Drosophila melanogaster: one gene and its partners. The protein of the gene in region 4 interacts with the protein of the main gene of each other region in a pairwise test. Each region holds a gene or a part of one and is shown on either strand. Other genes may lie near its edges. The genes, in order: RIC-3, vir-1, CG17032 and ATPsynCF6L.

Region 1 (8,926 bases), on a different chromosome or scaffold from region 4:
GCATTTCCATTTTGTTGATTTGCGTCCAAATTAATCAATGACAATGTCATTCTGCTGCTAAGAATGATCTGCAAGTTAATTAAGTTAATTAATTGATATAGTTTAGTAGAATGGCTTATCCATACGGCTGGTTCCTCGGCTGAGCCATTGAGCTCCGAGTCGTAGACTTCTTCGCGTTTGATCTGGGAGTCGGCAACCAAAATCTGGGACTCATGGGCCAAAGCGCCTTCCAAGTAAATGGACTGCGGCTCCGGCAAGTTGTCTTCCAATTTGGACTGAAATCGAAGAGGGATTCTATTTAGTATTTCTGATATACATATTTAAAAGCTTCAACACATATGCGCAGAGGAGGTTGAGAGCGTAGGAAACATCCCAGTTTAATCACTTTTTTTTGTAGGGATATATTGAAAGCGTTAGGGTAGCAGTTAGTCGAAACTAGTCTAGTTAAGTTGAGAACTTGAAAGTGGTGGGGGGTCTGTGCGTCAGTGGCACTTACATGTTCGCTTGGCGCTCGGAAAACAGGCGTTGGAGGGCGTCCAGTCCACTTGTGGCCGCCCTCGCAACTGGCTGTTAACTCCATGCCGAGTACCTGCACCAATATTCGATTATTTACGGCAAAGATCTACGTACTCAAAGGTGCTATACAGGGTATATAATGGCATACCGTCAGTTCCTGTTCAGCGCTTAGATCCCGCCGTTTCCTGGCTCCCTTCGCCACGGTCTCCTGCTCCGGATTTTGGTCGGTGCTGCTTGCATGTCCATTGGATAGGTTCTGCTTGTCTAGTGGTTGCTCCCTCGTTTTTTCGTTGTCGTTTTTCTGCACAGGATACACAGGATATAATACGGTTAGAGAGGACACTCTCGAAACAGTCAGTAGAATGTGAGAGCTAAGCAATTCTATACAGCCTCAAAACGCAAGAAATCAGAAATCGAACGCATTAATTACTTCAATTCGTTGTGGTTAGGTGAAACGCAACAAAACTCAATTAGTCGAAGGATCTTGGTTAATAAACAAAAAGATTAAGTTCTTGTTACAAATTATATGTTCAAGGATTGCCGTGCCGGACCCTTTGAAGGTCTCTAACCTTATTCGAATCAGTTTCAGTGTCGCTCGTCGCCCTCTGCTTGTCTTGGCCATTCAATTGCTCGTCGGCCGCGTCTATCAAACCTTGTATGGCCGTAACAACTAGCCCCATGAAAGTACAGGGTATCAATTTGGGATTTACATTCATTTTTTTTTTTGTGTTTTTGCGAGAAACATGAAAAACGTAGAAACGACACAGAGAGTGAATATTTATATAGTTGTTTCTTTGTAGCTCTGAGTATGAAATGATGTTTGCGATTATCTTTATTGGCAATGTAAAGTTACGTATAGTGTTCGAATAGATTTCGAATAAGACTGCTTTGAATCGTAAAATATGTCCCCATCATAAGAGTTTAGTTTAGTTCAGATCGAGAGTACTCAGTGAGATGCAAACACATTTAGACTGGGTTCGTTAGTAGATACGAGTATGTGAAAAGATATGTTTATATATATATATATATATGCATATATCGCATGCCGACAGCAGACAAGCAGGTTAAATTAGAAACAGAGTCGGGAGAATTCCGTTCCATGCACTTGTTAGACTTGAAGATTAAGGACAGAGTGACATAGTTTTAGAACTGAAGGCTTTTTTTGGGGGGGAGGATGTGGCAGGGGGGTAAAAGAAACCATTCCGAGGATTCAGCTATTCACTAGAAACCAATTGAAAACAGAAATAATCTAGTTGACTTTGTTCGTTGTACTTAGTTGTGATCTGAGTTGTTGTTGGTCTGATTTTGGTCTGTTTTACTGACTGATTCTATGTGAACTGAATGATGGTTATTATTGTCTTAGAAGTTTGGCTGCCGCTTGAGAAACTTGAGGGCAATCATCTTGAAAATGAGAACACAAAAGAGATCAAATATTAATTCAAATGACAGCGAGATGGTCCAACTGAAATCACTACGATATATGATGTGCTACTAGATGTATCTGAGTCGCGTTGTATAGCTATATCTGTATCTGTATCTGCTTTTTTCCGATTCGATGACGATGGTAGGAAGCTACTGGATACTGGATGCTGGATGCTAACCTTTGCCTCATACTGATCGGTGTTCATTTCGGCCACCAACTGGGCCATCGCCCGCTCCGTGCTCTCGAGTTTCTGGCGCAGCTTCTCGATCTCCATCAGCTGCTCGGCCTCCTTCAGCTGCTGGTGGCTCTTCAGAGAGGCGGACAAACTGCTCGCCACCTCGGTGGCCGACACACTGGCGTTGTACAGCTCCTTTTCGGTGTCCTTGGCGGCCGGCTTCTTTGCGGCGGCAGTGGCGGTGGCAGCTCCTATAAAATTGTCGTACGGTTTGGTAATCAGGGCCGGAAATCGAATCAATCGAGGGACTAACGAAACTAAGGAGTATTTACACGGGTGCAGGAGTGGCAACAAAATAAATGTATATATCCATGGAAGCGTGATCAATTCGGGGTTAGTATATATATATATTTATAAATAGTATATAGGCACACAACATCTAGAATGAGTACATCTAGGTAAATGAAATAGAACACATAGTCGCTACGATACTACGATACCAAATGAGGAGGACATATTTCAAAACTCAAAAGGCCTTTGTCGAGGTCTAGAAACTCAAGATACGAACGAAACTCTATGGTCATCTATGCAACCATCTATATATATCTGGCTTACTTGTCTGATGCTCTCGCCAGCCTGATACCGTGGCATGATTTTCGGTGTGCATGGGTTTTTTTGGAAGCAGAAGAGTACAAAATGCGATTTTTTTTCGGTTAGGATTGAATCGTGAGTGCGGTGGCTAGAGCGATTGTGTGTGTGTGTGTCCAACTACGAGTGTAATAATCCGGAAGATGGCATCCGAATTGGCCTGGCACTCACCCAGTTTGCTGCCGCCCAAATCCTCCACCTGGCTGTGGTTCTGTGATCCGAAGACCTCCTGCCGGAAGGCAGGATTTGGAGGCGCCGCTCCGTACGGATCATTGGGAACTTGCTTCTTGAACATAATCTGCATGTAAGAGTTTTATAGTATTATAATTACATATATACGATCAAAGAGAGTCACCTTCATTAGGGTGTAGCCGAAGAAGACTACGATGCCAATGGTGTAGAGTGGCATTAGGAAGCCCATGCTGCTGCCCCGCTGTTGTGGCTGATGCAGTGCACCGGCGCCCATGGGTGGACGCATTCCAGGAATGGGTCCAGGCTAGAAAGTACATACATATGTCAAAAGTTACTGAAATACAATAGAATGCCGCCAACAATCAAGGTCATATTAAATGTATCAGGTATACGCCCCGGTGGTTTCTTAAGTCAATTGTCTTTAGATATTTTTGAACTGATCGAATATGTATATTCTATTGTCCTATGTAATCATAAAAATTACGTATCCGCCGCGATGTATATTGACATAAAGATTACTCAAGACAGTTGTCTTCGAAATCTTTTGAATTGATGTCTTTGTAGGAGAAGGGAATCGATTGTGTTTTATTGACAACCCATGTAATCATTAAAATTACGTATCCGCCCCGTTGTATTTTGACATGAGGCGAGGACAGCTGATTTGTGCTCCCCGGCCATTCTAGCATTCTAGTAGCGATGAGAGCAAAATGGAACTGGCGCACTGAATTTGGCACAAGTTCAATACGCAGCAGCACATTCGGCCGATCTCCCACTCATCATTTACAAATTCTTTTTTTGTGTTTTCTTTAGCGCTGTCTCTTGCCTTCAATTTGCGTGCAGTGTCATAAAAACAAAACCCGAATCCGAATAAAATAAACGTTTGGCTATTTATAAATGACTTCCAACGCGAGCGCGGATATGTCTCATCCCGCCGTCATTATAATCACATCGACCACAGCCCGCCGACCAGTATAACTATATATATTATAATTATGGATTTATCGTCCGGAGAATAATGCACACCGTATGGTTAAATGTATAGTAGCCCAACTCACCCGTCCGTCGACAATCCGCGGAGGCGGATTACTGGGCGAAGTCTTTCGTTCTAGAATCGGCACGGTGGGCGTGGCGGGAATGGCGCGACCCCGCTCCCTCATGGCCTGGTATATGGATTCCGGATGCAGGTGGGCGGGACGCTCCTGGCGCAGACCTGCGACCACAATGGATTCATTAGTAACACAATTAAACTATCAAATTTTTAATTGACATAAACACTACATTTTAGAAACCCAAACATTAATAAACTCATTAATACCGTAAAGGTTAGGAATCTAAATGTATCTCAATCGATTGTTTCATGTAGATACAATCTTGTTAGTAGAGCCAAACACCGTTAGTAAAACCAATAAGCAAATTATAAATAATCGAGCCACATACTTATTTCGCCCGTGTAAACATTGATTTGCTTGCGATACAAATGCGGACCGAAGGGCTCGACAGTGTCCTTCTTCGTGGCATTCAGAAACTGCTCCCTGTCCAGGACGACATCACAACATCCTACAACATCGACCGGACAACAACAACACCCACATACGGAAATCAAAAGAAAATCATGATGATAATTCATAAATAATAAATGATAAATGAAATTAAGTAAAGTACAACATTTATAAGCCCTAGCTCCTAATGTGGTGAATAGAATCTGATGACTTACCGCCTGGTGCTGCTCGTGGATCCTTGAAGTTTGGCTGGCTTGGAGGCACTCCTCCGAACATCATGGGATGGAAGACCTTTGGCCACAGGATGGCAATGCATCCGATCACGGTTACGATGATCAGGGCGGTCTTCTTGGGCGTCATGCCCTCCTCGACGAGCGGAGCTCTCGGCTTGGATGTGGCTGTAGCGGGCATTTTGGCTTGGTAGCGGATTCCGTGGGCTATCTGGATTCGTTTGGCTATGGGTTCGTGGTTAAAGCTAGTCCCTAAGGCAACTCTGCTATGTGTTCCTGATCGATTTGGTTCGTTGATGGCTCCCTGCGAGCTGTTGACTATGCGCTGTGTTTCTAGTTGCTGTTTAACTTTGGCATTGGCTCATTTTGGCTGGCTAATGGTTGATTTGCTGTACGTTTAAAGCATTATCTGAAAGATACATAGATGCATAATCGGTTACACGCTACAGTTCGCTGATTCCGGCTTTCGTTGGAGTTGTATTCACATCACTGATCGGTCACGAATCGCAGCGCAAAATGCTGTATACGTTTGAATATTGTTGCGGGAAAACAAAAAAGTTTATTACATAAATAGCGGTCCCGATCTTTTTTATTTTTAGCTCGCGCAATTCGCTCTTTTCGGCCCGTCTAATAATTCTTTATTATTTTCACTTTTCCCACCGCACAAATCACAATTAACGACCGCATAAATAATATTGAACGTTTCTCCAAAAGAAAATGCTTTCGTATCGCTTTTGGAAAACGGTTTTTGAACGACCAAGGGTTCGAAAAAAAATGAAAACAGAAAACTGGACAGAGCGACTGCTTACGCAAAGTTCGAATGTTGTTCCCGAACTGGCCAGGCAAATTTTTGAAACTATTAGCGAATTTTCGGCAGATCAGATCTGAAGACCCGACACACCATTCGGGCGCGCTTTTCCCCATAATCGTCGTCGGCCATTATTTTCCTTTATTTTTGATGAGACAAGTGATTTGCAGCTTGGGCCTGCACCGGGAATTTCCGAGAGCTACGCTACAGCAGCCGACATAACATTAATGCTCTCTAATTCATTTCGGAAATAGATTTTAAATCAAAATACATATAACTGCTTGGGAAATTGGGCAAACTTAATTTGAAATATTTCAGCAAAAAAATTTTATAATATAATTTTAAATTTAATTTTTTGAGCTATTGCTGCTGTTTTGCTGACCAGCACTGTGTGCGAAATTTCGTGTTTTCATATTTTTCATTTCGCAGCTTCTTCGCTCTTGTTATCACACACGCACACACACACTGCCAAGTGCTATGAGTTTTCCGACCGTTTTCCATTTCGCTTTCAAGCGCACTGACTGAAAAGTGGCGAAAGTAAAATTGTTTTTACTATGCACGTCTGTTATTTGCACAGCATCTTCTTATTTCCACCACTTTTATTTTAAAAATTTCCCTCTTCTTGTCACTGTCTACATTAATTTGGAAAACGTTTTTCGAGCTCTCTGCGCTTTTATTTTTGGAGGCACAGCATTTGTAATTTGGGTTCAATGCCGTTCGGCTTAAGACTCATCACTTATTTTTAAAAATTATGAATTCAAAGTGTGGAGATTTTGTCCTTGGAATTGCTCTCGTGTTCTGAGGTACCTTTTAAATAATTATCAGTTTCGTTTTTAAAGACTAACACCTTTGGTTTCAAAGTTCGTTTTCTTATCTAATTACGCTAATTTCAAACTGTTTGTTTGTCGTTATAAGTTTCTCTGCCAGAAAGCAGCAGCAATAATAATTGATTTTTCAGTCGACCGAACGGAGATGGGCAGCATTGGCTGTCAATCGATGCATGCGAGTGCTATCGATACTTTTCTATCGTTTAAAGTTAACGGATCCTTTACACTGATAGAAGGCTTATGGGATTTAATAAATTTTTGTATATTTGTAATTGTTTTAAATGGAATCACATTATTATTAATATATAAAGGTCAAATATATATTTGGTTCGTAAAATGGTTACTTTATTATGCATTATTATGATGTTAAACTAGACTAACTATATATAACTAAGGATCAACTAAGGATCCAATATAACGGTAATACGTAAAATGCGGAATATACAAATATTAATTCGCTCAGCACTGTTGCCCTTTATCGAAATTAAAATTATTCGATTTATCGATAGCATCGTGAGTGGTCCACCCAGCTCCAATGTTTTCGTCTTCTTTGTGTTATAAAATTAACAATTTATAAATACGCATTTTCCGCTGGACCACCGAATATCGTCGTGACTTTGAAGAATCACAGTGCTATCAATCCTCGAAAGCAAAAGGTTGTAAAATCGAAAGTGAACGCGCGCCTGGCGTGACTGGTTTCTAGGCTTTCACCCCACGAAACTGGAGCTAACAATGGACAGCGAGTCGTTGGCCTGTTCGTCGGTGGAGAAGGACCTGACCCGAGTGGTCAGCAAACTGGAGCAGCTTCACGAGAACGCAGAGGCGGACATCGGAGATATAGCCACACAGATGTCGGAGCTGGTAGAGGTTCTCAGCAGGGCGGAGCAGCTGGTGACCACTCTGAACTCGAGCACCCAGGTGTCCCAGGACGATCCCATGGGCGATGCGGTGAGCATGCAGGTGGAGACGGAACCGACGGCACCACAACGCCTAACCGAGCGCCAAGTGGAGAGCGTCCGGAATGCTCTCGCCAGGTGCCACGAGCGCGTGCAAAAACTGTCCACGGAGCACCGCGATCTGCACGGCTCCATTTCGAAGATCGGCAAGGCCATTGACCGCAACTTTAGCGCCGACTTCTCGTCCACCATGCGAGTGGACGTGCTGCAGGACGAGGAGAACCTGATGTTGCTGAACAAGGCCATTGCCAAGCATTATTGTCGCCAGGGCATGGACGATGTGGCTCGCACGCTAATCCGCGAGTGCAAGATGTCGCCGGAGCATGCCCAGGATGTGTTCGACTCGGAGCGCGAGTTTGCCGACATCTACGGCATTTGGGTGAAGATCCAAAAGCGGGATCTGACTGACGCCCTCAAGTGGGCAAAGATGTACTCCCAGCAGCTGAGTGACCGCCACTCGCTCATAGAGTTCCGGCTGCACCGCATGCGTTTCATGCAGCTGGTCTCCTACGGATTGGACTCGCAGCGCGAGGCCATCTCCTACGCTCGACTGAACTTCAAGAAGTTTGCTGTGCGCTATGAGCACGAAATAGCCAACTTGATGGCCAGCTTTATATATCTGCCCAGTGGACTGGAGAACTCGCCTTACAAGCACTTCTTGGGCCAGGAGAAGTGGACCGAACTGTCGTTCATATTCCTCAAAGACGCATGCCAACTGCTAGGCATTAGCAAGAACTCCGCCCTGTCTGTTGTGGTCAATGCCGGATGCACTGCCCTGCCCGCCTTGCTCAATATCAAGCAGGTGATGCAGTCGCGCCAAGTCCTTGGCATGTGGAACGGCTGCGACGAGTTGCCCATTGAGATCGATCTGCAGCCGGAATTCCGATTCCACTCGATCTTTGCCTGCCCCATATTGCGCCAGCAGACTTCCGAGGACAATCCGCCGAAGAAGTTGACCTGCGGTCATGTCATATCCAACGACGCCCTGCACAAGCTGAGTGTTGGCCACATACTGAAGTGCCCCTACTGCCCCGTGGAGCAGAATGCCGAGGAGGCTGTTCGCATCTACTTTTAAGCCACATCTATGTATTCACCTTATGATAATCACCACTGCTTATATGACCAGGCTCAGGCGGTTCGAGGACTGGTGTTGGTTGGCCGGCTTTCCTTAACAAAACGTAACCATTTTAAGATAGCTTGCTTAGATTCATGTTTTTAGACAAATTCGCAGAGCGGAATCGAACTGCCTGGGCCGTCTGTTTTGCGTGTGTCCCACTTCCTAACAAACGATTTAGATTTAAAATTATATATACTGTGTATTTAAAACAAACGACGAAAGTGTTTTTATGTAGAATCCATGTTTAATTAAATACAAATCGTCCGAAGAGCAGACACTCTAGTGCCTATGTTTGTGCTTGTGCTTGTCGCTGCGATGTCTCGGCGGCGATGGCTCTTCTCTGCGAGAGGAGCGCGAGGAGGTTGGAGAACTGCGTGATCGCGACGATCCGGAGGCAGGAGTTTCGTAGCGGGAGCTGCGAGACGACCGCTCTGTATACCGCTTCGGTGAACTGGACGGACTACGCGACCGATTGCGTTTCGAGGATTTGGATGAGCGCGAGGTTTCGGGTGAATAGTCACGTCGTTTGGATTCG
Region 2 (5,952 bases), on a different chromosome or scaffold from region 4:
GCCTCTTGAGCGGACTGACCAGGTGCTCGTGCTCCAAGCTATCCATCGACTGGGAGCGCAGTCCCTTTTTGAGTGCAGTTTTCCTGGAAGCCAGCTCTTCTTTGGTCTTCATGAGTTTCTGAAACTCAATGAAATCGTCGCGCTCATCAATGGTTCCAATATCATAGTAGCTTGCGCTGAGTATCTCCAATGCCTTGGTGTGCTGTTTCATGGCGATCAGTATAAAATCGCTGATTATCTGCTTTAAGTCGCGCAACTTCCGCTGCTCGAAGTTGCCAATAATGTCGTCTATCTCCTTGTTTGTGCGCTGCACCTCCATTTTGGCCTTAAACAGCTCCGAATCGGCGGCACTCTACGGTAAGTTTTGGGAATTATATAAGAAGTAAATTGTTCGTTTTAATACCCACATTGTTCGCAGAAAACTTTGACTTGAGCTCAAGCATCTGGCGCTGACGTAGTACCTCCTTATCCCGCGCTATGACAGCCAGTCGAAGATTGTCCCTTGTGGACTTGCAAAGCTGCTCGAATTGCGCCAACTCGTTGACAATCTACATAAGTCAATAATATGATATAAGATGCAGATTTAAAAAAGGATAATTCACCTTGTGTTCCAATCGGTGTACATTGATGTCCATGTAATCACCCATTATGGTAACCGCGTTGGTGAAGCTCTTCAGTCCCTGACAGAGACTCTCGTTGATTTCCTCGTCGTCGGCGTAGCTCTTCACACTCTTGGCCAACTCATCAAAGGAGTCCCGATATCTGCAAGGTCTTATGATTATTCATTCAGATTTATTTATTTACCAAACTCACTTGGCCATTTTCCGCGTTACCAAAGCAAACGAAGAGCACATCTCCATTAGATGCCTTTCTGTTATGTTTATGCGCTCGTTTATTATTTTAACACGGTCATCTTTGGTGTTTAGAAAGGATAGTTTTCCACGACGAAACATTATTATTTTATTTTAGTCCCTTATATTTGTTTTCCTTCTTTATTTATTTTATTTCGACAATAAAATCAAGTGAAAACCGTTACCAAGGCAACGTCTAAATTCATCTGGCAACTCTCGTTCGAACAGCCAGCATATTTCCAGCTCTGTAAAATTAACAGAAATGTTAAGAACCTACTGCTGCCAGGTGGCGCTAGTATCAGCGTCTTCTGCAAGTACATAGATGGCGCAAGAATAAAGTTTATCAAGGAAATTTAAAACATTCTAAAAATATTCAATCCTAAAATAAATATCTGAATATGGGTACTTCATTTTTTTCCAACAGTGTCAAGGTCAAGAGCACGTTTCGTTATAATCTGTGAGTGTTTCTGTCTGTCATCCGGTGTCTAAATTTAAATTCGAAAGATTTATGACTAATTAAGAGACTGCAAATGATAAAGAAAAATATATATAATTAGTATATATAAAAAAATAGAAAATATACTACGATATTTACCTGAAGATCATAGCATTGTAAATAGTTTATTTAAAAACAAGTCAATCTGATATTTTAAAATATCGTTGGTCCTAAAAGCCAAGCTTTACTCACTTAAATATATGTAGGACTAAGCTGACTCAAATTCTTCTCACTTCGAAGCCTTGACAACCAAATCTTGTTTTTTGGGGAATTTATTGACTCGACCGCAAGAATGTTGTGTCAACGATTAACCGAAAATGGTAATTTATTTTAAATGCTCCTCTGCCACTTAAAGGCATAGTGCAATCAAACCTGTATTTAGTAAAACGAAAATAGCAGTTCGAATAAAACCAACGAAAGTGTAGTTAAAACAGAATCCGGTTCGTGGGACCACGACAAGAATTACAAGTTGTAGAGCATGAAGAGCAGCCTGCAGGAGATTTTAACAGCTGTAGCTGCGCCGATCGCGATTTCAATCTGGTCGAAAACCATAAAGCAACACGGCTCCCAAGAGGCAAGTTCAGGTAAAAGGGGGCAGGTGGACTTCATTGTCAATCCAAGAACGTAGCTTGGCGCGCGTTCCTTGTCGCTAACTATATCCCCGCCTCTTTCTCGGCGCTGTCGGCCATCCGCTTTGAATTTCTGATTTTTATACATACACCTCGAACTCCAACGGTTTTGGTCAAGGGACTGCACTGGAGGACATTCGCGTTCCGCTGGCGACATTCATTTTTGCTCCCACTGACGTGTCAATGAATATTCTTTTTGTAAAATTTCTGCTACTTTTTGGGTAAACAGGATGGGGCATCTTTGGTAGTGGATCTGTTGTAAAAATATAAAATTGAAAGTTCTTTAGTTATTTTTCTTTTTTTTTTTTAATTAAAACATTGTTGAATGCACATTTGGAGCACTCGGAAGACCCTTCTTCGCTCTCGTATTCTTCTCTGCGCATTCCTCCCTTTCCCGGTCTCTCTTCTCAATTCTTTGTTTTTTTTTGAGTGCCAACGACGTGAGCTGGTATAAATGAAGCCAAAATCGTACGCAACCGTTTAGTCCGAAACGTTTCATTAAAGCCAACGCACGTTGAAGATCGCGCGTTCTTCTCCGATCTTTCGAAATCGAGTGATTCAAGCGATCCACAGAAATAACTGTATGACACCGGTAACAATAATAAAATTTATGCAAATTCGCGGTTGTCGGCATGTGTATGTGAATGAAATTGTGTGCGTGAACAATTTCCGCTTCGGCGCTGACAAAAATGTTTACAAACAAACAATTTGCAGCTTGTTTAGGCTGTCTGGGCAATAATTTGGATGCCTAATTTACTTCACGCAGCTGTTTGCGAAATATTTACTTGTGCTCACTTTTATGCTGAGCCCAACATAAACAATAGCTTTCTAAAACTATCAGACATTAAAAATGCTATTTAAAGTTTATAGTTGCTAATTTTGAAGACCTTGAAAAATTTACTGTCGGGCAAGATATTTAAATAATTTTCTGATGTGCAAAAATTCCAGTTCATTTTGAGATTATAATACATTCTAGATTTAAATCAGTGTATAATTATACAAATTCTTTACGGCTTTTTATATTTATCAGAACTGTAATTGGGTGTTATATCGTAAGTTCTCTCGGGTCAAAAAGATCATTCATAATCGGATTAACTAAAGATTTCCAATAAATTGCCGATCTTTGGCATATTCGTTAGTAAAATCGTGATTAAACCCGGCTCAATCAAGGCGTGACTACTTTATCGATGGAATTAAAAAGAAGCACTCTATCATAACCATTTAATTACTGAGAATAGTCTTTAGCTCCGTTTTCATTTCCTTGGAAGAAAATTCTCAATAGCTGCCCATTAGGGAAATAAGCAAATGATGCTTTTGTTTACAGAAACAACAACCTTGAACTAAACACCAAGCGCATTTAACAGGTGATTCGAGCAGCCGTTGAATAGACATAGTTCCATACAATGCAATCGAAGTGGAATTGAAATACGAATGGGGCGACTGAAACATTCAGCAACTGTGACAGGGACACATTTAAAGTCTGAAATACAAATATAGTGGAATAGAGAAGCCCGCGTGCAGCTAACGAAGCATAGACAAAAACTGATTAAGTAAATTGAAAACACAACTAAATTTACAAAAGGTTCAATGAGCAACGGCGACTTTCAAACACCCTTTTAATCGAAATTTTAAAATATTAGTAGCAAATGCCCTTTTAGAACTGCTTTTATATATATATAATTATAAAGATAAAGTTATATTATATTATATTTTTTATAGTAGTAGATACAATAGTTAATGAACCAGTAAGCTATAACGGAAACAAAAAGGTGTAACGAAAATAAAAGTTAACTTAAATGTGCCTAAGAACATTACTAATACGCTGCATTCTGTACACAGTGGAGTCCCCAAATATTGTACCCAGTTGACGGGCACAGTGTAGCGCTCTTCCCACAACACTTGCCGCCTGCCATTTGGAATATTTATAAGCCCAGCGGCTAATTGAGTGAGAGGGAGAGCAAGAGAGCGGTCAGCTAGTCACTCACTCGGTTTCTCACTCGCTCACTCACTCAGCCGGCCGCCGTTTATTTGCCGCTTCCTCAAATCATTTAAGCGCATTTGACGATTGTTTGTCTTTCCGCACAGAACAAAACTGAACAGAATCGAATCCGGTTGCCGGTCCACATCAACGCATCAAAGCTTTCAGCCCTAAATAAACTATACAAATTAAACAAATTATAAGCTTGTGAAAAAAAAAAAACCAAACAAAAATGAAGCTCTTGTTCGGTTTGCTGATGACCGTGCTAGCCCTTAGCGGCGTTTTCACATTGCCAGGTAAGTGAAAGGCTTAAAAGCAATCCAATCATGATGCACTTCATAAATTAACATTTAAATGATTAATACTTGAAAACTAAATGTTAACTTGCCCTAAGTAATACGTATAACGGAACTAACTAATATGCAATTTGTACACATATGCAACATACATATTTGTTTTCCTTCTCTTTACTTTCTCATTTTTATGTGCACATAATTAGTTATTAAAAAACACAGTCAACCTTTTGACTTTAAAAACAAAGAAAATTGATAAGCACCGGGAATTCTGATTTGCACTCTTCTACGTAGTACGTTCCTCTTATACCTTCTTGATCTGGAATATTCTGGTAGAATCTTAAAGATTACCTCGATGTAATTGTGACTTGGAGCAATATAAATAAATTATTATGCATATAATACGTAATTATTAGTAAATACAATCTGTTGGATATGAAAAAATGTTTTAATTCCACTCTGCAGCAGATTAAAGTTTAAAGTCGCTGCCTTTGCCGGATAATGATGTCAGCATGCTGATAACAAAGCGTGGCACTTGACAATCAGCCAAATGCATCTTACAGATACAACACAAGTAACTACAAATGGCAAAATATCAGGAATGCTCGGCGCAGCATCGCAGATCCAGCGTCCTTTATTGTCATCATCAGCGTTTGCTGTTCGCTGCCTTTGGCTGCCACTTGAATGCATAAATTGCTGAAGAAGCTGCCAGCGAATCGCAGATACCCCCACAGATGGGCGGAATGGTGGGAGTGGGCGTGGCAGCGGGTTGGCAGCTGCCACAGCCACTTGAAGTTGTCAAATTCGTTGCTGTCCAAATCATTTGCCAGGAATATACAAATTTTATGCAACACTCGTGAATCACAATTTTTCGGCAAATCTTGCTTGAGAATCATCTTAGCAATGAGTGCTTGAAATTGCAATGAAATATTTCGTAAATTGATGAGACAATGTTTTTTATTACATATTTCAAAATACACATAGTAGCTACTCTAACTACTGTGCATATAAGTCAGATTAGTACTGTTTAAACATTTGTTTTCTCTATTTAATTATTAATGATTTGCGATCTGAACATGCTGAGAATAGAATCATATCCAATTAAAATAATTTACGTAACCAATTAAATCACGATAATTGTGGATATACTGGATTTATCTGCAGGCTAATCTATTCTGGATTATATATTTCAAATTTAAATTAATATTGTTACATTCTTCAACAAACTCGGAATCGGTTGAATGAACTGTCATATTATACACTCAAGTCATCCCAATTTCTCTGGCTGATTGCAAGTGAAATTCTTGAGCACTTTTCTTCGCTTGTTTTGTTTTCTTATTTTTCTTAATTTGGTTTTTTATGAGATCGCTTCATGTCAGTGTCCCATGGCCAAAAGAATTGGGTTAATTGTGGCCATAATTCGCTTTTAAGAACTTTTTCCAGGGAATGTCTTTCTCTGCCCCAGAACAAATTGCAATTGCATGTTCACATAAATCACTTTTTTTTTTCCTTTTTCGAATTTCTGCTGCTCGTACGTGGAACTATGTGTGGAGTAATAAAACTCAAAACAATTATGAAAATTATTGGTGAATTATTACATGTATTTTTCATTGTTGGCATTTGCCGCTGAATAGACGGGCAATTTGTTTAATTTAGACGGATATTTTGTTATGCAAATTGAAGTTAATTTTCGAGCCCATACAAA
Region 3 (5,108 bases), about 11 Mb from region 4:
GGCATCATGAGGAGCAGGTTCTGCGCACGCTGTCTCAGCGACTGCCCAACAAACTCACAGGACCCAATGAAACGGCTCCAAAGTAAGCAACCCATACATTTAGATCTTAAAAAGAATTTTACCAATGTTATTTTTAGATTCAATGATCCGCACATCAAGACCAATTTGCTGCTTCAGGCTCATCTTTCGCGATTGCAACTGGGACCTGAACTGCAAGGCGATACGGAGCAGATACTGAGCAAGGCCATCCGCCTCATTCAGGCCTGCGTAGATGTGCTGAGTTCAAATGGCTGGCTGTCGCCGGCTGTGGCTGCCATGGAGCTGGCTCAGATGGTCACGCAGGCCATGTGGAGCAAGGACTCGTACTTGAAACAGTTGCCGCACTTTAGTCCCGAGATTGTCAAGCGGTGCACAGAGAAGGTGAGAGTAACAACAAGTGAATCTCTAGGATTATCTCATGTTTCGTCGTATATTTCAGAAAATCGAAACCGTTTTCGATATCATGGAATTGGAGGACGAGGATCGCACTCGCCTGCTGCAGCTCTCCGATTTACAAATGGCCGATGTTGCTCGATTCTGCAACCGTTACCCCAACATTGAGCTGAACTATGAGGTGGTGGACAAGGATCGCATCAACTCAGGATCAACCGTTAATGTAGTGGTTCAACTGGAACGTGAGGATGAGGTCACTGGCCCAGTCATTGCTCCATTCTTCCCGCAGAAGCGCGAAGAAGGATGGTGGGTCGTCATAGGTGATCCCAAGACCAACTCCCTGCTCTCCATCAAACGGCTCACGCTGCAGCAAAAGGCAAAGGTCAAGCTGGACTTTGTGGCACCTAGTCCGGGCAAACACGACTACACTCTGTACTACATGAGCGATTCCTATTTGGGTTGTGATCAGGAGTACAAGTTTTCCATCGAAGTGGGTGACTTCCAGTCGGAAAGCGAAAGCGAGTCAGATTAGTTTTCTTTAGGATCATCAGTTGGGCATGTTTGCACAAATGAAAATCAATCATTTTACAATTTACGCGCATTAATTGTAGCAATAATAAATTCGTGTACTACTTTAGTAGAAACCAAATTGTACAAGGATACACTGAGGATAATTATATAAAGTAGTACAAAAAAAAAAAAAAACAAAATAAAAAAAACCTTTCAACTTTCTTTCGCTGGTTGATACCAAGAATCTAAATATTTTGTAGTCAACAGTGCCAATTCTTATATTGTCTTAAGCTTTTAAATTTCGTATGGAACAATTCAAGTTTGTTGTAATTTGTAATCTGGATCATCAAAATGCAACCGTTTAGATTTTAAAAAAATCATTCAAATTATTCATTCAAATTCAATTCAATCATAAATATTTATTTGGATTTTTTAGATATTTGCACATAGGATTGCTGACAAATAGATTAACTTGGAGGTATTTTCCCTGTATGGTGAACTTGGCTTTTAGCGGCTGACAGAAACTGCCGATCCATGGCTACTGCCACGATTGGCTCCTCCATTAGCGAAGCTGTTCGTGGAGCTAAAGTTTATTGTCTGTCCATTGGGAAGATGGTAAACCTGACTCAGCGAAGCACCTGCCGCATTATTGGATCCAAAGGGGCTGGTGTTCTGGGACTGAGTGGCCGTGCTTGCGGAGGAGGCACCGAATGATCCATTGGCACTCTGCGACTGGAAGCCCTGAGCCTGCCCACTGGCGGCCGAGGATCCTGAGTTGAGTCCATTGTTGTAGTTGCTGTGGGCAGCTCCGTTGGATGCGGCCTGCTCCTGGTTGTAACCACTGGGTCCGAGTGGTCCCAGCGGATTTAACTCGACGTTGGCATTGGCATTGCCGCCATCTGGTCCGGCACCAACATCAACACCCGCTTTGGTTCCCCCAGCGCCGGCCGATGTACCTGCCTGAACTTTTCCACCTTGATTACCGCCGAATCCGGGATTTCCTCCGAATCCTGGGTTACCGCCGAATTCCTGATTACCGCCGAAACCCTGATTACCTCCGAATCCCTGGTTGCCTCCAAATCCTTGATTACCGCCGAATCCACCTCCAAAACCAGGCTCTCCACCGAATCCGCCACCGAAGCCGGGATTTCCAGCATACTGACCACCAAATTGTCGCCCAAACTGACGCTTCACCCTCTTGTGAGCGGCCTGGATTCCGGATATTTGATCCAGGACCGAACGGACGCGACGCACCTGCGGATTAGACTTCGGTTTGATGTACAAGGCTGATTCCACCACTACTTCCTCGATAGTGGCGCCCTTGGAAGCTGTAAAATGCAATGGTATATACTTTATAAAATATTTTATATTTATTTTAATTTAATTAATAGAAGCTGAATAATCGGCAAGCTTATTATTAAAAAATTCGGAGCAATCTATTATTTTACTAAATATTTTACGCTTTGTTCGCACTACAGAATGTGTACATATGTATACACAAAAATTTATAGATAGATATGTATTTATATATATTTACAGAATTTCAGATTTGAAAAGTATTTTCCAAATGTATTTAGGAAGTTTTACAATCTAAGAATTGTAAGATTTTCGAGCGTTAAGAATTTTACTTACGCAAATCATCATCGCCGGTTTGAACCTGCTTCTCGTTGCGCTGCCTCAGTTGAGGAAACGCCGACGCAGCTGCCAGACAGATGAGGGCCACAAATAGCACCGGAATTGATACATTCATTTCGTGTTCTTCGATTAGATTGGTTGCCTTCTGGAGATCGCAGCTGGACACGTCCGTTGGCTGCGCCGCTTCGCGATCAACTGTTGGATGTATATATTTCAGCCTGTCCGCTCCGCCGCCAATCGGCCGATCAACTCTCACTTTCAATCGCCGTAGGGGGCTGCCCCTTTGGTCTGGATGGCGCTAATTGCTTCTATCAATATTCAAGATGTTCGGCAAATACGAAGAAAAAAATTGAAAACCAAAACTGGCTTGTATAATCCAACGATTTTTGGCACATGTAACCGATGCAAACTTTGTATAATGTTGTATTATGTAGGAAAAAAACAAAACGGGTGTACAAAAGCCGAAACCGGTTGGCGGCCAAAGCTCGTGGAGGAACTAGTTTGGTTTTCTTTTGTTTATTTTGTTGCTTGGTTGCTTGCTGCTTGGTTTTTGTTGCTTTTCGATTTCCATTTCGGGAAACAGATGTTGTCCAGAACTTTTACGGGTCCACAGAGTGGAGGCGGACAGATCTCCCCGAATGAGTTGGTGCTTGCAAGTGGGGGGCATCCCAGTGAACATTTGTGTAGGATTTCCAAAGGCAGACGCTTGTCTGCCCTTTCAGCTGATAAGAGGCTAGAATTATCGGTTTAGTTGGAATAATCACTTTTATTTCTATTTCTAATCTAAAAGGCTAGACAATCTTTCAGAAAAATAATTCATGGGAGTGCTTAAATAAATGAATAAATGGAATTTTGTTGTAACATACTATTACAATTTAAATTCGTAATTGAAAGAAATCAATTATAAAAGCAAATGGTTTATTATAGTAATAAATTCTTCCATGAATACATTAGTTAAATAAACTGTTTATTACTCTTTCCACATTTAATCTAAAAGTATTGACAAATATTTCAGAAATTTAAGTAAGTTGTGCAATACGAATTTAAACGCGAATTAGGACATTCACAGCTTCCTTCCATCAAAATGAGAATGAAGTGAACGATAACAAAGGGACATTTGTTGAGATCGCTTAATCAAACATGTAATATTGGGTATATGCGAACGACTTGATGATGTATACGAATTTGCGTACTAACTAAATGGATAAAACACAATGAACCGAAAGTAATATATATTTTTTGTACAACTTGAAAGTCGTCATGAGGCGCTTGAATGGTTTGTTTTGCGAGTTTTTCCTTACAATATTGTTTTTAATGCTTACTCTTACGTTAAGGAATCAACAAAACTGAGCACTGTTCGATATAGTTAGCATTTAACCTAGGATAAGTGGTTAATCAGCGGCTGAGGGCCTACTCGATGCCATGGGCGAAGATCATGACCAAACCTGGATCGATCATGACGTCCTCAGTCATGTGGAGGTTGTCGCAGCTCAAAACGAGCACAGCTTGCTTGCCTGCGGAAGAGTAAGTTTAAAGATAAAGCCTTGTTGTTAATATTTATGTTTAAAATTGTTACCTGGAATGCGTCGACACACATAGTTGTCGTAGATCCTACGATTGGTTTGACGTGTCTCTAGCGAACTGAGCCCACGGGGCCAACGTCGCTCGTGGCAGAACTCCATAAGACTATCCAGGATGTGTGGCGGACAGCCCGACTCGGACAAAGCGCGCTTGATCATGAGCTATCAAATGAAAAGTGAGTTAACGTTTTAAAAAAATTTAGAATTTGGGCTTCACCTGCAGTGCATCGTCGGGCGTAGAGATCATTCCCCCCCAGCGCGTAACCCTGGCCCGGGGCAGTGTGCTGCTCCAGCGGATCACCTCGTCGCGCTCCATCTGGTCGGCTATGGCCCGCATCGCAGGATTGGAGACGCGCATGGCACGCATAAAGTCCTTGAATAGCTGCAGCTCGCGCTTCAGTTCGTTGATAGTCAGCTGCTGGTCGGTGAGCTCCGATTTGAGCTCACCCATTTTTTCCGTCTGCTTGACAATTAAAGTGCGCAGCTCCCGCACGCAGTTGTGGTCCTTTAGCTCATCCTTGGGTATGTCAAAGCCGCATCCCTTCTCGCAGGGAAATGGTCGCTTCGGATTGTGAATGCATTCGTCCAAATGGGAATTGTAGGCGTCTAGCTTGAGAACAGCCGTGCAGCCATAAGGCGCATTGTCACAGGTGATTGACAGTCTGGTTGGCAAGGGTCAAAGATTAGTTAGAGTCCACAAGGTTCACAGAGTAGAAGGCGTTGGGTTTTTCTCACCTGGACAGTAGGTTGCGCAATATGCGAGGCACTGCCCGCAAGTTGGCAGTAGTCAGGGAATTTCGATCCACCGGACAAGTGGGCTGGCGGGTTAGCCACTCGTTAATGCATCCGCGGCAGAAGGCGTGCTCGCACATCACGGCCTGAATCGGTAGATATGTATGATTGTTTGTATTTAAAGCATATGTATGATTCGCGGTGTGCGTTCTTTGCAAA
Region 4 (4,165 bases):
CCAACCACCGCCCACACATGTCATGTAAAAAGACTGTTTAACAAGCAGAGCCAAGAAGGAGCAGCTTAAAAATGAAATGCGTTTCTCGTTTTCACATGGCTGCCATCGAATAGGTCACAGTGGTTGAAAATGTCAAGGAATGAGCGGATATGAGAAGAAAAAAGTTATGATAAAAAATATATGCATATAATTAAATAAAACAGTTTTTCTTGTAATAATTTAGATTTACCAAAGATTGGAAATATGATATTATTAAACGCTGCTCCTTTGTGATTAGAGATTATTAAATATTTTAATTTTATTTTAATTGAACTACTTAGAAGCCATTTAAATGTATAAAACCTCAGGTTTAATACAAGAATATTACCTTGTTTTAGGCAAAAAGATAAAGTTGGGAACTCAGACCACTGTCTTTGTTTCAACCTTGTGCAAGACGTTGCTCTCGTTGTACCGAGCCAACAAACAAGCGAAATATTATTTACGAGCTGTCAAATCCCAGTTAACATGCCTTACACAAGGACCAAGGACGTCTTCGGTGTGTTGGTGTAGTTGTTTGCTCGATGCGGGCGCATAGTTCGCTAAGAGACAGCTGAAGATGCGCTGCCACAGTTACAGGACACAGAGCTACAGATACAGATTAACAGCAACGGTACCAGAGATATAGACACAGATACAACGGGTATAGATACAACCGCACTGCCAGACACTCGTATGGCATTCAGAAAGTGTGCCAGGACGTCTGGACCGTAGTCAAATGCCGGATCCTTGGATCTTTGGATCCTTGAGGCCGACTGTAGCGGAGCGGCATAATAAAATAAAAAAGCATAAATGAAAGCGAGGCCAGGCCACGAAAATAATTTAAATTTATGTACTTGTGCGTATTTATTTGTGCGTTTGGCTTGTATTTCCTTCGCGACGTCTCTTGATTTGTTTTTCTCGCTCCCACGCTCGTCCTTTACACGCTGCCTCCTCTCGCTTGCCATCGTTTTATCAAGAGCAACAGCAGAAAGCATTAAATTCAATTTGCTTGTGTGAGTATCTGTGTGTCTGCCACTCAGCGTCAGTTACACGGAAAAAATGGAAGTGGGTGGGATGGGGCGTGCGGGAGCGCCAAAGGACGAAGGACCAAGGGGAGGGACAAGGCCATGCGAATGGCGGCGACCTGTTGTGTTGTTTAAGGAATTACTTAACATGGTAAAAGCATGGTGTGTGTGAGTGCTGCTTATGCATGTATGTGCTTAATAAAAATTTCGGTGCGTTCTTTTTTCGGCTCTATCCTGGAACAGCTACAAACGGGTAGCTCGAATCTGCAGGCATTTAAATTCATTTTCTTTTAACATAAACATTTTATAATTTTTAAAGTATTAAGAATTGTGCGAAAATTTTAACAACATTTAAAACGATTATTTTTAGTGATGATCTACTTTATCTTGTCCTTTTCATCCTTGCCCTTTGGTTCGTCAGCTTTCTTGCCATCTTTGGCTTTCACTTCTTTTTCCCCACCCTTTTCTTTGGCCTTTACTTCTTTATCTCTATTCTTTTTCTCAGGCTTTGGTTGGTTCTCTGGTCTAAGTAAATATTTATATTTTTATAAAAACTTTTTCCAATTTAACTGTAACTTACAGATCATCAACCGAAATGGGATCAATATCAATATCGGGCAACTTGAATTTCGGAAACTCGAGCATATCCACGCCCTCGCCGCCGCCGTATTGCAGAGCCAGGCGCTCAGTGACTTCCTTCAGCTCCGCCTCGAATTCCGGACCAGGATCTACGGGCTTTCCCTTGGGACTCTTCAGCCGATACTCGCGCACCTTGTCCAGGAAAATCTGATAAATGGGATCCTTGTAGCGAAGGGATGCGGTATTGCTCACACTCCTACATAAAACTAGGCTTGGTTTTAGGAAACGGCTAAACATTTTTTTGTTAGTTTTGTTCTCTGCTGACACGATACTGTTTCTATGCGATAAAATATGATTCTGAGATATCTTACTCAAGGGTAATTTGATTTCAAAATTAAAATAAAATCATTGTCTTCAGAACAGGTAAGCCATCTTTTTTTAAGATTTGAATTTATATTTTTAAACGTTTTATATCTTTTATTTTGAGTATTTTTTGCGTTTATCAAACCCCGCATTTTGGGCTAACGCATCTGAAGTGCTTCCCTGCTCCAGGACGAATTTTTACGCACCGTTGCTGCCCGTTCTCCTTTATTCCCGAGCGTGTAAGATTTTCTCTCTGTCTGACTCGTCGTATCTGCGAATGTCTGTGTGTGAGTGGGCTTGACAATGCGAGTGCCATCTCGACAAGTTTTTCTCAAAAAGTGAGACAAGTGGAAATCCGTTAAAGAAATACGTGAAACACATAAAGGCGATGATGTTGCTGCCGTCAACTTGCTGTTGCTGTTGCTTATGTGCACGCAGCAAGATACATAAATATATGCGCGTGTGTGGACAAAGAAATGTCGGCGGCAGCAAATAAAAATTAATTGAAAAATGTTTATCAAGGACTTTGCAGGGGAAAAATTTAAATGCACAGAGCAGAAAAGAGCTGAAAAGAGAACTGAGCCGTCGGACAAACTCTGATAATTGATGGGAAGACATGGCTGTGAAAATTATAATTAATATAAATTTCCATTCACCTTTTTTCCCCTCCCGCACCATCGCTGACAGTGCAAATAAATGGATCATTGTCGAGTGCGAAATGAGGAATGTGTAGCTTCTAAACCGGGCTTAATCGGCCATCGCCACATGCGGCTCATTTCAAATGCAGCCAGCACTCATGCTGCGTTTCGCATCCGCCACTCGAATTAAAATATACGAACATATAGTACGTACATATTGTGTGCAAAATATCCACACCGAACTAAAAATTATGCAACGCATTAAAAATTTAACAAGCGCTTATCCGCTTAGTGCAACGCCCGCAACACGAGGGGTTTTTGTACGCCAACGTCACTTTCAATATTTAAATTTTGACATTTTCTGCATTTGACGCCGCCATGTAGTGGAACGAGGTGTGGGGGGGGGAGGGGGGAGCGCTGCGCGGGACATGGACAATATTGCATCAATGCAAATTGGGCAGAAATAATATGCAAACATTGGCACAAACAGAATGGCAACCTAATTGGCAGCAATAACAAACTTCCCACGCATCTGACATTCCAATGAAGAGGGTTGGCTGTCGTCCTACGTGTTTTGAATCGATCAAGTTTCTAATACAAATACTAATATAAGTTTTTGTCAAAAAAACTGAGTTGAACTATAAATATTAAGAGGTTTTTTATCTGTGTTTAAAATATTGAAACTTGTTTTATCAACATACTTGCGATCCTATTTCTATTAGTATTTTTGTTCGGTGCACCAATAGTTTAAGCGTTCATTGGCGAAAACAAGAAGACGTGAAACGGTTATTGCCTGCTGGTGGCATATATCAGGTCTTTTTTGTCTGGTGCCGAGCGCATGTATCTCAATCTTCATTCCGACTACTACACAGAGCTAAGGATTAAGCAGTTGTGCGGCTGCCACGCCCCCGCCATTAAAGTAGTTTCCCCTAACTTGGTTAGAATTAATATTTAGCTGAGCGCAACTTTATTTGCAGTTGGCAAATGCTTTAACCTCCCCCGCCGACAACAAAGTGAGCAAAGTATCCTGCGGTTGCCTGCCGCTCCTTGAACGTGTATATGTATCTGTGCATCTGTGTATCTGTGTATCTGTGTATCTGTGCATCTGTGTGCCAGTCTATCCACGTAACTGTGTGGGTGTTCGTACATGATGTGGCTGTGTGTGCGTGTTTTAAAATGCAACAGATGCGCCAAATTAATGCGACCATTAAATTGTATTAGCGTGTGCAAAATGTAAAGCGCATTTGCCAGCAGATTGCTTCAGCCAAGTGCGAGTGTATCCGAGTCCCGGGGTTCTGTGTGGGATTGTGAATGCATCCCGCTATCACCGCAGTCTCTGTGCGTTGTATTCGCTGCAAATTTGTGTGTGAATAAACATGAGAGTCGTTGCATTAATGCGCATACAAAAGCCAACTGAGTCGAGTCCTTGCCGGCGTAACAGCTATCCCTGCGTAGGAACAAGGATTTAAATATCACCGAGAGCGAAGGGGGTTGCGGGATGCGATGCTGGGGGATTGAGAGCTGCTCAATGCTAAAATATCA

What was found.
Region 1: the proteins of ATPsynCF6L (region 4) and RIC-3 interact in a two-hybrid assay, tested with the Drosophila melanogaster proteins (one large-scale study listed by BioGRID).
Region 2: the proteins of ATPsynCF6L (region 4) and vir-1 interact in a two-hybrid assay, tested with the Drosophila melanogaster proteins (one large-scale study listed by BioGRID).
Region 3: the proteins of ATPsynCF6L (region 4) and CG17032 interact in a two-hybrid assay, tested with the Drosophila melanogaster proteins (one large-scale study listed by BioGRID).

Annotation. Positions count from the first base shown.
Region 1 is NT_033778.4:21,015,325-21,024,250, reverse strand, and holds the start of RIC-3 (RIC3 acetylcholine receptor chaperone), read right to left. Parts: upstream 6,468-8,926; 5' UTR 6,299-6,467; intron 6,107-6,298; exon of another isoform or gene 5,983-6,106; intron 5,520-5,982; exon of another isoform or gene 5,493-5,519; intron 5,189-5,492; exon of another isoform or gene 5,169-5,188; intron 5,093-5,168; 5' UTR 4,865-5,092; coding exon 4,669-4,864; intron 4,512-4,668; coding exon 4,392-4,511; intron 4,165-4,391; coding exon 4,010-4,164; intron 3,259-4,009; coding exon 3,118-3,258; intron 3,061-3,117; coding exon 2,934-3,060; intron 2,751-2,933; coding exon of another isoform or gene 2,730-2,750; intron 2,366-2,729; coding exon 2,118-2,365; intron 1,918-2,117; coding exon of another isoform or gene 1,876-1,917; exon of another isoform or gene 1,789-1,875; intron 1,187-1,788; coding exon of another isoform or gene 1,086-1,186; intron 818-1,085; coding exon 665-817; intron 590-664; coding exon 497-589; intron 276-496; coding exon 126-275; intron 69-125; coding exon 1-68. Other genes in the region: Sou (souji), read left to right, coding at 7,051-8,349; CG9346 (uncharacterized protein), read right to left, coding at 8,671-8,926.
Region 2 is NT_033779.5:12,419,939-12,425,890, reverse strand, and holds the start of vir-1 (virus-induced RNA 1), read left to right. Parts: upstream 1-2,451; 5' UTR 2,452-2,568; intron 2,569-4,028; exon of another isoform or gene 4,029-4,061; 5' UTR 4,062-4,186; coding exon 4,187-4,250; intron 4,251-5,952. Other genes in the region: Fam92, read right to left, coding at 1-352, 408-548, 603-762, 814-953.
Region 3 is NT_037436.4:15,956,850-15,961,957, reverse strand, and holds CG17032 (uncharacterized protein), read right to left. Parts: upstream 3,116-5,108; 5' UTR 2,693-3,115; coding exon 2,575-2,692; intron 2,271-2,574; coding exon 1,450-2,270; 3' UTR 1,349-1,449; downstream 1-1,348. Other genes in the region: Brr2 U5 snRNP complex subunit, read left to right, coding at 1-82, 138-420, 479-964; elgi (early girl), read right to left, coding at 3,988-4,091, 4,154-4,319, 4,375-4,819, 4,893-5,035.
Region 4 is NT_037436.4:5,010,177-5,014,341, forward strand, and holds ATPsynCF6L (ATP synthase, coupling factor 6-like), read right to left. Parts: upstream 1,958-4,165; 5' UTR 1,920-1,957; coding exon 1,624-1,919; intron 1,569-1,623; coding exon 1,421-1,568; 3' UTR 1,268-1,420; downstream 1-1,267.